Tribolium castaneum: one gene and its partners. The protein of the gene in region 2 interacts with the protein of the main gene of each other region in a pairwise test. Links are inferred from orthologs where the notes say so. Each region holds a gene or a part of one and is shown on either strand. Other genes may lie near its edges.

Evidence for each region. The genes of interacting proteins can lie anywhere in the genome.
Region 1: the proteins of tum (region 2) and pav interact in a two-hybrid assay, tested with the Drosophila melanogaster proteins (3 studies listed by BioGRID). The link is inferred for Tribolium castaneum from reciprocal best matches to the Drosophila melanogaster genes tum and pav.
Region 3: the proteins of tum (region 2) and scra interact in a two-hybrid assay, tested with the Drosophila melanogaster proteins (2 studies listed by BioGRID). The link is inferred for Tribolium castaneum from reciprocal best matches to the Drosophila melanogaster genes tum and scra.

What each region holds. Positions count from the first base shown.
Region 1 is NC_087398.1:1,086,290-1,090,292, reverse strand, and holds pav (kinesin-like protein KIF23), read right to left. Parts: upstream 2,801-4,003; 5' UTR 2,607-2,800; coding exon 564-2,606; intron 519-563; coding exon 237-518; 3' UTR 151-236; downstream 1-150. Other genes in the region: l(2)34Fc (putative defense protein Hdd11), read right to left, coding at 1-132.
Region 2 is NC_087394.1:20,766,483-20,769,719, forward strand, and holds the end of tum (rac GTPase-activating protein 1), read right to left. Parts: intron 2,115-3,237; coding exon 1,989-2,114; intron 1,942-1,988; coding exon 1,657-1,941; intron 1,605-1,656; coding exon 1,207-1,604; intron 1,157-1,206; coding exon 1,024-1,156; intron 973-1,023; coding exon 812-972; intron 755-811; coding exon 700-754; 3' UTR 501-699; downstream 1-500.
Region 3 is NC_087396.1:20,580,383-20,584,653, reverse strand, and holds the start of scra (anillin), read right to left. Parts: upstream 2,801-4,271; 5' UTR 2,644-2,800; coding exon 2,626-2,643; intron 2,573-2,625; coding exon 2,194-2,572; intron 2,135-2,193; coding exon 1,965-2,134; intron 1,619-1,964; coding exon 1,418-1,618; intron 1,366-1,417; coding exon 762-1,365; intron 714-761; coding exon 554-713; intron 423-553; coding exon 326-422; intron 1-325. Other genes in the region: ZnT86D (zinc transporter 7), read left to right, coding at 3,232-3,418, 3,465-3,682, 3,736-4,271. UniProt on the Drosophila melanogaster protein: Required for cytokinesis. Essential for the structural integrity of the cleavage furrow and for completion of cleavage furrow ingression and proper formation of the midbody.

The DNA of each region.
Region 1 (4,003 bases), on a different chromosome or scaffold from region 2:
AGGAAGGGGGGATTTTTGGGGCAAGACTGGGTGCTTAGGAATCATATCATCACAGACGGATTCGGGGGCGCCGGCAGAGTAGCCCCAAGCGGTTGCCACAAGGGCGGAAAAGACAATCAAAGCGGCTCGCATTGCTCTAGAAAAAACCTCTGATATAAATTAATTTATTATCCAGTTAAGTACAATCACACATAAACCAACAAATAAAAAAATAGAGCTTATTATAATAAAAAAAATCAATCCGCATCAGCCGTTGGCGACTCCTGTCTTAGTCTCTCCACATCGTTAAAAATCACCTGGGCCCCGCCCCCACACGTGGGCACAATATCGCCCTTGTAAACCCTAGTTTCAACCCCACCATCGTCCTGTTCCTGCGCTATCAGACAATATTTGCTCTGCTTCGGGTTCGTAACATCGCTAGCTTTACTCAACTTGGTAACCGACTTGCGTTTTTTCATGGACGGTTGAAGGACGGTACCAAGCGGCACTGGCTTAACCGAATTGTGCTCAAGCCACACCTACAACCCCTATTAAAAAAATCAAACAATAGAACGGTAAACAACCTCAGTGGGCCCCGCGGACCGGGACCGCCTCCTGGTGGCGGCCGGCGTCCCCACGTATCGCCTCCTCGTCTGCTGCTTGGGCGTCTCCTCCAGAGGCGCTTGCTCCTCTTCTATTTCCGGCGGCGTTATCTCCTTATCCAGGATTTCGCGCACTTTTTGCAGCTTGTTTTCCTTGGCTTTGGCAGCGGCTTGCAAGTGCTCACGCTGCCTTCGCAACTTCGCGTCCAGCTCCTGGGTCATTTTCTCCGTCTGGAGGGCCAGCTTTTGCTTGGTTTTCTCCTTCTCTAGTATGTTTTTATTAATTTTCAAATCCTTCTCGGCAATAATGTTGCGTAACGACGCTATCTCATCCTGATAGTCGCGTATTTTCGCCCGGAAATCACCGGCCCGGGCCTCGGCGTCGGCCAATTTCGCCTCCATGTTGTACGACCTTTGTTTCTCCTTCTTAAGCAGTGCTTTACTACTCTTAACTTCGGACTTCCCCAGAATGTTTTCCTGCTGTATCTCCAGCAAGCGCTTCCTGAACCGCGCCTCCTCCTGGTCCAAGGTCGCATCCAAACTTTTGATTTTCTCAAATCGGGTTTTCAAAATGTTGCTTAAGCGCTCCAAAGCGACGTGACTTTCGTCAAGACTCGAAAAATGTCGCTTGAATTCGGGGATTTTTGGCCCAAGTGTGAACAAACTCGCCTTGCTTTTCATTGGTGTTTTCTTCGTAATTTTGCTTTTGCACGGTGTGTATTTCGGTTCAGATCGTGCCACTTTCACATCTTGGGTCGATTCGGCGAACTTCATGACTTGTAAATTCTCCTCAAAGTCGGCAATTGAGGGGTTCACACAGACGATCATTTCGACACGACCTTCGCCCTCAAAGTAGTTTTTGAAGAGGAGAGTTAGGCGGCTGTCGCGATACGGCACCAGTCGGTTGCCTCCGGTCGTTTGGTTTTCCCTCAAAACGTCCAGACACGTCCTCAAAGACATGAGCGAGTTGTTGATTTGACTGGCTTCCCTCAACAACTGGCCGGTGTTTTGAGTTCGTGTTGTGCGCTCAGAACCCGCCAAGTCAACTAGACTCAGTTGGGAGATTTTGAGGAGGTTGCTGTCAGGGATCATGGGACGTCCCTCAGCATTGTGGGAGTATTGTTCCAGCTGGACGAGTCGAATATTTAAAATTGAGTGACTCCGACTTGAGACTGAATTTAAAATTGTGTTGCCCATTTTTTTGCGCTTTTGTCCGATGTTGAACAACTCGAACGCCTCCTCGGCCGACTTCACCTCAGTCTCGACAACCCCATTCACGTACATGTTTTTATTCGAATCCTCACGTAATATTTTGCCCTGCATCCGGCTCCCGGTGTTCTCATCCAACAAATCGTACACCGTATTGTTATAAATCTCAATGTAACTCACAAAGACCGAGTACAAGTTGCCCTCGTTAACGTCCATGATTTTAATACCGTCGTTAACGTAAGTCTTTTCCTTCCCGTTTCGCTTAACGGTGCTCCTGGGGGTGCTCTTGGAGGACGCTCTGAGCAAAGCCAACTGATCTTGCATGGCGTCGTCCTGCGATTGCACCTCAAACCCGTTCATTTTATCCGACTTAATGACACACTTGGGGGCTTGAAACGCCGAAATCGAATTAAAAATCGTGTAGATACACTTGGGCATAATCCCCGGGTTGTTGTGGTCCCCAGTCAGCGTGTGCGTCTTCCCGGACCCCGTGACCCCATAAGTGAAGAGTAGGGCGTTTTTACCCTTGAGTAAATCCTCCAAAAGGGGGTACGCCACATGTTCAAAAACCTCGTTTTGGGTGGCGAAGGCCGTAAAAATGTGCTTGAACTTGCAGTGGATTTCCTTACGAATGATTTTTGATTCGGCAGGGGTGGTGAGTGCGAGTGTCGTCGGTGATAACAGTCGGATGCAAGTCGATTCCTCGTTACCTTTAAGGGGGCGAAGCCGGCAAAAAACTTGCACGGGGTCTTTGTCTGTTTTTGTGATGGTTTTCTCGCGCCGGATTTTCGGCGTGAATTTGCTCACAGGGTTCATTTCGTTTGTTAATTGTTTGACTGAATTTAAAAACGTTCACTTCGTACAAGACGGTGACAGAAATAACCGTTTGCGCTTTCAAAATTTGAATTTGAACCATTTGACAGTAAAAACCGTACAGGTTTCTGTAAGAGCGACCTCTAAGCGCGCTAAGTTTTTTATTTGTTGGTTTATGCTTGATTATTTAATTCACAAAAATGCGAGTAACGAATAAATAATAATAATAGTGCTGTGAAAAAACTGTTTTTTTTTTCATTTAAAGTGTTAAAAAATTTTTTTTTCGGTTGTCAGTTTTGACATTTGCATTTGACATACAAACAAAAAGGTAACCTAGAAAGTGTTTAAAAGTCGAACAGGGAAAAGAGTGTTATTTGTGTAATAATTAAAGCCGGTTTTGGGAAAACACGTCATTTTATGTAAATATTTGGTGGTTTTCTTTACTGGCATTATGTAATGTTAGGTAGCGTTTCAAAATCTGGGCCCCCCGGGTTCTGTTCAAAGGTCAATGATTGCAGAAAAACGAAGACACTTAAGGACATGGGTTACAAAGAAAATTTATGCATAAGTGTGGTTTTGAAGAGGCGGAACGTAAGGTTATTTTATTTATTGTTTATTACAAAGTGTTGTAAAAGCCTTTTTCAAGGTTTATCTTATAGTGTTTTTTTTATTAAGTAATTCCGTAGTTTGTTTGACAAATTTTAGGGGTGGTTTTGCTTGAGGCGGACCGCGGACTAAACGATTTCATTTACTGAAAACTTTTTTTTCCATAAGTTATGTGACACGTTAAATTCGAATTTGTTTATTTATTGGGTAAACATGACTTATTGTTTTACTTAAGTGCACTTTCCAAATGCAGACGTCACCTTTATTTGTCCACTAGTGATTTTTTTCATGAACCATTAGCATATTCTTGTCACTTTCTTACGATATTGGAGGTCATTTTACAATCACTTTGAAAAAAATCGGTGGCATAATTTTTTTTTAACCGGAAATGGCCGGAAAAGACTGATTTGATTTAGGTTCTTTGCACAACGGTGACCTGCTAGGTTTAATTTAATTGATTAACAAATTAGTGAATTGGAATTGAGCGAAACTGGGCTTTAAAAGTCTGCTGTATAAAAAATTAAAGTTCCGACCCTTTCATAATAATAAAACGTTCAATTTTTTCTTAATGAGTGAATTGATTAAAATACCCTACGAAACAACGAAAAAAAATTTTTCACACAATAATTTTATAAAATAAAAATAAATGAAAAAGTCTTGACGTGGTTAAAATAAATCGTACTCACCTGTTCTACTTGATCTCTTCTCTAGACCGAAGTTGGAACTAACCAACCCACTCTTTATTTCTGTGCATTTTACTTTCAAATTATAGTTTAATTGAAAGTGGGGGATTT
Region 2 (3,237 bases):
TTATTATTTTTTAATGTTTTTATGTTTCGCACTAAGTAATAGTTACCTAACAAAACGATGAATAATTATTTTTAAATTTACTAACAGACTTTAGCAGTTTTTTCAATTTAAAAAAATTAGAATTCATCGAAAAAATCACAATGTGCAGATGTGCCAACACTGGGAATGATTTCCTAGGAAACCGTTTGAAAAATAATTTATTTTTATTGTTGATCAAATTCAATTGCGATCACGACTGTTAGACAACGTTGCCACATATCATTTATTTAAAATTCGTCATTTATCAATAACTTTAATATAAAGAATTTTTTTACTATTTTTACCTTTATGTGTAAGCAGTTCTCCATCACACTCCATTGAGTTGGTGCGCCGATTTTTGAGCACCCGGTATTTATAATTATTAGTATTATTATGCGACGTATTTCTTTTGTTGGTGCCATTATCAAAAGCCGCTCGTTGCTTGTAACAAGAATGAAAGGTGCTTCAAAGTAATAATCAAATTTAGTCCAAAATATGGTATATTTTAACGTAATTAGTTTTTACATAAATATTTTACACCACTTAGTTTGAAAATAACCAATCCAATCAACTTGGACAATATACAGTGGTATATTTAAAAGGCATATAAAAGATGCTAAAGTTTAGAAAATAATATTTCTTCAGTATAAAATGTAAAAAAACTTATTAATAAGTAATAATTTATCGGAAATTCTTGGGTGAAGGAAAATACTTCTGCTTCTTTTTCGCACAACTTCTGCAAAATAATAATAATTAGAAAACTTCGGGGCATTTGTTATAATGAGACAACAACCTGTTAGCGCTCACTGGTGTGAAAAGTCCTTTAGGAGCTATAGGACGCAATAATGAATCAGTGCTTGGAGTTTGCTGCAATTTTCCACGTTGATAAGTCGGCTCGATGTTGATAAAACCAGACCAGTAATCAGATGGGATATTAAGCAAATGTTCCATTACCTAATAAAATTACTTGTCTCAAACTTGAACCTGCAATAGAACAAAACATACCATATTATGTTGAACGATTTCATCCAGCAAATTATTCGGGTTTGGATTATCGGACGAGTATCCAACTAAAGTCGGTCCGAAAATTTTGGCAAGGTTACCGATATTCATTTTGCATTCTTTGGCCTCTGCCACCCTAAAAATAAAATTTTCTAAACTTGTTCCACTTGTAATTGTCTGTTTTACTTCTGAAGATGCAGAATCATATATGCGAGAGTGTCTCTGTTTGGTTGTGGAAGCTCTGATATGGCTTGATACAGAGCTGGTTGGATGTCAAGTGGGTCCTGAGCATTCACAGCTTGTACAAATTTTTTCCACAAGGCGTAAGTTATGACTGGTTCATGTAAACCCCTGAGAAAGTCTTTGACAGTTCCACAAATCACAGGAATGTCAACTTGATTAAGACATGGGGCCCCTTTGCCTTTCAGAAACCGTTCCTTCAAAGCCTTAACATCACGTTCTGAGCCTGGAACTCGGTATAAGCCAACTTCTGAGAGCCCTCTTAATTCAATTTCGTTTATGCAGTGGATAAGAATAGCTGGAACCATGGGGGGAGTTGTTGGGGTATAATCACCAATAACCCCCTTCATAAGTTAACATTAGTACAAGAGTTACTTTTAATTTCTAGTAACATACCAATCCGTTTCGTTGATTTGGTGTATGCACCACAGGAATACATGGCAAAGGAAGATTGTTCTTGCATTCCAAATGACACAGAGCTTTGCATTCTTTGCACTTAAAAGCGCTCCTACCAAAGCGGATTCGTTTATCGCAAGATGTGCAAGTTTCAGGCATTACAAGAGTTTTTTGTTGAAAACAATGTTCTTTGCCGGCTAGTTTCTGGTGAGTTTTGCGCGGACTTTCACGAGCCCAGGATTCAAAAACAAGGTTTGCTGGAGGGGCACTGGGGTATGAGTCGGCCTAAATTTTTTTATTAAGAAAAACGCAAACAAATATAAACATACAACCGTATGGGCCGATTCTGGGGCTCCCGGAGTTTTAGGGACGGACTCGATAATAGACGTAGCAGTAATAGGACCATCTTTGTTAAGAGTTAGAGTAGTGGTTGCTCTAACGGTGTCAGCAGCTCCAATCTAATCCCAAAAAACAAGCATATTAACAGTATAAAAATGAACACAAAAATATGTTTTTCGACTTTGGTTTCACAAATTGTTCAAACAAACTGAAAGTAGTTTCACAAAGAGAACTTGTGAACTCCTTTTAGTAAATTTTTAGAAGTTGTATTGGCATTGCTGGGCTGGGTGGCTGGGTCAAGTCGCTTATCATAAAGCCCGAATAATTAACAAAAATAAGAGGAAACAGTTTAAACAGATTTTGATAAGTTAAACTAAACAAAAACAAACAACAAAAATAGAAAGTAGAAAAAATAGTACTGCACTCGTTTTATAAGTTTTAATTGTGGCACTCATTCTATTGGAACACCCCTTCGTCGTGCTCCAAAACCATTCGTGCTACAAGAGAACGTCTTATAAAACACATATAATAATATACTATTATAGTAACCCTGATCTTGTAAGATTATACAACCACAATAAACTTCATTACCACTACTAAGGATCATCTATTGTGCAGGTATTAAGACCTACGCGCCCTTGCAAAAACTGACTTCTCCTAGACTGGTTGCTTTCACCGGCCAGGTCCGGCTCCAAATAATTTCCCTAATGTTTTCAAAATTCACTTAAGCACTTAAGAAAAGAAAATAATTACTGCTGTAAAACCAGATTGCAAGCATGAAAATTATCAGGTGCCAACATTTTATCATTGTTTAATATAAAACAAATTTAATTTGTGCGGTCTCAAATTATTTTGAGTTCCGTCCTGGACCCTTTGACAAGGGTGTTGCTAGAAAAGTTGCTAGAATAATTTACCACTGGGGTTTCTTTTCAATAGGGTATCGGTTACATTTCACATAATAGACTAATTTTATGATCACCATATAATCTCACAGAATCAGGGCGACTTTATATTATTGAAAATATTAATATTAATAAGCCTATGCTCCATTTCAAAATGAAGTTTTCAATTTAAACACGTGCTTAAAACACACAAAGACTCTACACCTACATAACAAAAAACTCTTTAAAAACGTCTATAAACGTCCGCTAAATACAAAATTAACATTCCAAATTTTGTTATTTTCCGGATTATTTTTGAGTTAGTAACGTTTCATCACAATTTAGCCTAATCTCAAAAGCG
Region 3 (4,271 bases), on a different chromosome or scaffold from region 2:
CAATGAAATTTGATAGTGAATTTAACTATTTTTTATTTTATTGAAAATTTCAATACATACTCCTAGTTTAGATTTTTTTATAAAAAAACTAGACGTTAAAATCGCATGAAACAATACAGTCCCATTAGTAAGCTACAATATCTCAAGAATAAGTCAAGGAAATTTTTATCTCCGACTCAATTTATTAACATGCATTTGCAAAAAATATTTGTTTTTTTATTCGCTTCAACAGTTCCCGTAACCTTAACCCACCTAAATAAATTTTAGTCCACTTCACTTGTGGCGCGATTTAAGCGTTTTTAATTTCATGAAGCAAAAAACTTACTCTTTTTTGTGGCGTTTGATTCTGGCAAACCGCTCGCAGAATATCTCGACCGAAACTGGTATTAGCATCGTCAGATTCAGCAAAACTGTTGTCGCTGCTAGATCAAGGGAAAAAACAAACAGTTGTAGTAAAATAGTTATATTACACATATAATACAGTCAAAAAAGAATACTAATTGTTTAAGAAAGACATAAAAGGAATAAAATCCAGTCGGTAATTTTATCGCACCTGTTTGTTGTTGGACTCGGACTCTCATTCTCAGTCTCAGTCACTGACTCAATATCCGTCAAACTTGGGTATAATCGGCCTGTTTTCTGCGACGCCACTTTGATTCGCTTCACTTCGCTTAGAACAGCCGCCACTTTCGGACTATCGCCTTTACCTGTAACTAACTCAATTGATTAAATTAATCAATTTGAAAAATAAAGAAATTTACGGCTTCTTTTGCCACTGCTCCTTTTTTCCTTCGGACTAACAACAGCAACTTTCTTCGCCGATTTTTCCTCAATCATGGCCGTTTCTTCCGTATCATCATCAAACTCCTCCTCGTCATTGTTCTTATGGAATCTATTCAACAACAAATCCATTTCTTTCTGCCTTTGCTCCCTCACATTACTCTCAATCTGTTCCTGCGAAATTGTGCTTTTTTGCTCAAACAAAGCCGCAACTTTATTCGCAATTCCTTCGCCCCTTGGTGTCGCCACTTCTTTTTTTGGTGATGGTGGCGCAGGGACTTTTTTTTCTTTCGGGACATCTTTTTTGATAGGTGTTGCCATAGCAAATGGGGCTTTGGGCACCAAAGCTGCGCCTTTGTTTTTCTCAAACAGGGCTTTCCTTTCCGAAACTGATAACAAAGCCGGATCTTTTGGCTGTTTGTTGGGACTTGATTCAAAGAAGGCCGCTTTATCAGCAATTTTACTTTTTTGGGGAGAAGAGGCGGGTTTTGTGGTTGCTTGTTCATTTTCTTTGTTTTGTTGTTGCGCCTTGTATTTGTACACCAATTTAGAGCTGGATTCTGTCCGCTGGAAGCCTTGCGATTCCTGGAAATGCTCGGGAAATTACATTGTAAAGTTCAATTTATTGGAAAATTACGAGAGAATCGAGCACTTTCTTATCCCAATTTATTTTCTTCTGTTCTTGTTTTTCTTGATCTTTGATGGGTGGTTCTGGGGCTTTGTATTTTGTCGCTGATTTTGGTGGCGTGTTTGGGGTTTTTGGTTCTGGGGGCTTGGGGGCTGGGGGTTTCCACGATTTTTTTGTTTTGGCAGGAGAATTGTCCCGCTCTTTACGCACCTAAAGGCACGTTTAAATAAAAAATTTACGTTTTCTTCGACTTTCCATTTGGTATTTAAAGACATACTATCGATATTTCATTAAATATTCTGTAATTTTTTATTTTTATAATAATAAAGCAACGAGAAACGTTGTTAATTGTGGTTATACTGTAATGTTAATTATTCAAAGCCTGTCGCATAATTGCATTAAATTACTTTAAAAAAATGTACGTAAATATCCCACAAGTCTTACAAGTTATATTGTTTCGATAATTGTTGGCACTGACGTAAGAAGCAATACATAATTAAACAGAAAACAAGACATGAAAAAGTTAATTGAATTTAACTTTTTTACAATGACTTACTGGAGTCAAGTCGTCCTCAAACTGATTGACCCTCTGTGCCAAGTCGGCCAGTTTGCTCAGCCCCCTCTTATTCCTTCCGTTTTCTGCCGGTGTTTTCGTTGGAGACCCATGTGCACAAAATCTAGCTTCTGTCTGATGAATTGGCGAAGAAATGTCCGCATCGTCGCCCCCTTTGTCCCCCAATCAAAACAAAAATAAACCCGAGTCAAAGCAAAGCCTTCTCTCTTACCTGCATACAATTTCCCCAACCGATTTAGCCTATTTTTAGCATCCTGTCTCAGACCCCCGTCACTCCTATCATCATCACTCTGCTCCTCAATTTGCACTTCAACATGAACATTATCAGCCGAACTTACTTTAATTTCCATGTTAAAACTATCGTTTTGTATATTTAGGCTTTTATGAGAGGTGAAATCGGATGAGATGTGAGTGCGTGTAACTGTTGGCAAATTACCTTCAGACTTGGAATTGGCTTCCAACTTGGGCGAATTCGAGCTTAAGTTAGGTTGAGACAACGTTACTTTACCGCTGCGAGGGGGAGTCTTCCTCAAGTCACTGTTGTAGTCTTCGAGGAGTCTCTGACGCTCCCTCGCCCGAGTTAGGAGATTCTGCGGAAAAAACAAGCGGAAAATCGGAAAATGGGGCGAAAGTGCGCACGTACCTCCGTAAACGAGTCCATTTAAGTGCAAGGTCGCCCCGTGATAAATCAAATTCACACTTTGTGCATAAAGTTTGGTTGTTGATAAATTACCGTTGAAGGTTCGATTTGAAATAGCACTTCGGGAAAGCGCCACCGGTGGCACTGTCGCCCATAATCCAAAATCTAGGGACTTCAATTTTGGGAAAAAACTCAAAATTACTCAAAAAACGACCAAATTGACCACATTACAACTTTGAAGATTATTTTACTTGCACAAAAACACAAACTTGACCCCAGTCTTGATTCCAGTCACTAGTCTCAATTAAAAAAACTTGTAAAGAAATTGGTTGGTCAAGCTGGGAAACTGACAGTTGCCAAAATTTTGACAGTAGTTCCGACTTTTTGAGTATATTTTGCATTTTTTTGCCAAAAATCCTAATTTAAATAGTGTACGTGTCACACTAGCTGATAAAATGAGCGAATTATGATTACCTGAAGTCGGGTTGAAGCAAAATCAAGTGTAATGGCAAAATTCAAGTTGGGTGAAACACGTATGCAATTTTATCAAAAAATCTGATAATGACCGGTCTCTGCCTGTGAATATCGGCCTTCCGTGACGAAATCATCATGTTGCCACTGTCGCACAAGGATAATTTGCACCGGGGCTTCGGGTCCCGAATTAAGGAGAAGTTGAACGGGTGGATGAGGTTAATTTTTTCCGACAGGAACTCCCGCAATTTGTTTCTGTTCCTGCTTCTGAACCTCTCGTTTGCGTTTGTAGAGTTAGTTTATGGTGTATGGTCTAATAGCTTAGGTGAGTTGTTGTGCTTGTTACTATTTTCGTGAAATGGTTGTTTTAGGTTTAATATCCGATTCCTTCCATATGTTTTTCGACTGTACTGGCTTATTAGCCGGCTTGGCCGCGTCCGTAATCACGAAATGGAAAGCCAACGAGAAATATTCGTACGGTTACGTCCGTGCTGAGGTTTTGGCCGGTTTTGTTAATGGGTTGTTTTTGCTTTTTATCTCGTTTTTTATCATGTCGGAAGCTGTAGAGCGTGCAATAGAGCCCCCTGAGGCAAGAATTATTGTTAAATTATTATTATTTTCATTAATTATTAACTATTTTAGGTGAAACACGAGAGGTTGTTTCTGGTCTCAGTGCTGGGCCTTTTAGTCAATTTGGTGGGAATTTACGCCTTCCAGCACGGCCATGGGCACTCCCACGGTGGTGGCGGCCACGGTCACTCCCATGGGCACAACCACAACTCCCATGGTCACTCCCACGACCACACTCTGGACATAGATATAGCAGCAAGTGGTAATTCGCAAATAATGAAAGGAGTGTTCCTCCACATCCTGGCCGACACTTTGGGAAGTGTTGGTGTAATAATTTCGGCAGTGTTAATGCAAATGTTCGGTTGGATGATTGCTGATCCAATTTGTTCGATGTTTATTGCGATTTTAATAGCGTTAAGTGTGCTAGCGTTGATTAAAGATTCCGTTGTTATTTTAATGCAGAGACAGCCGTATGCACTTGATAATGTTTTGCCGCAGTGTTACCAGAAAGTGGTCAGTTTGCCAGGCGTTTATTCGGTGCAAGAGCCCCATTTTTGGACCCTTTGTAGTGAGGTTTACGTGGGGGCGCTTAAATTGGAAGTATCAAA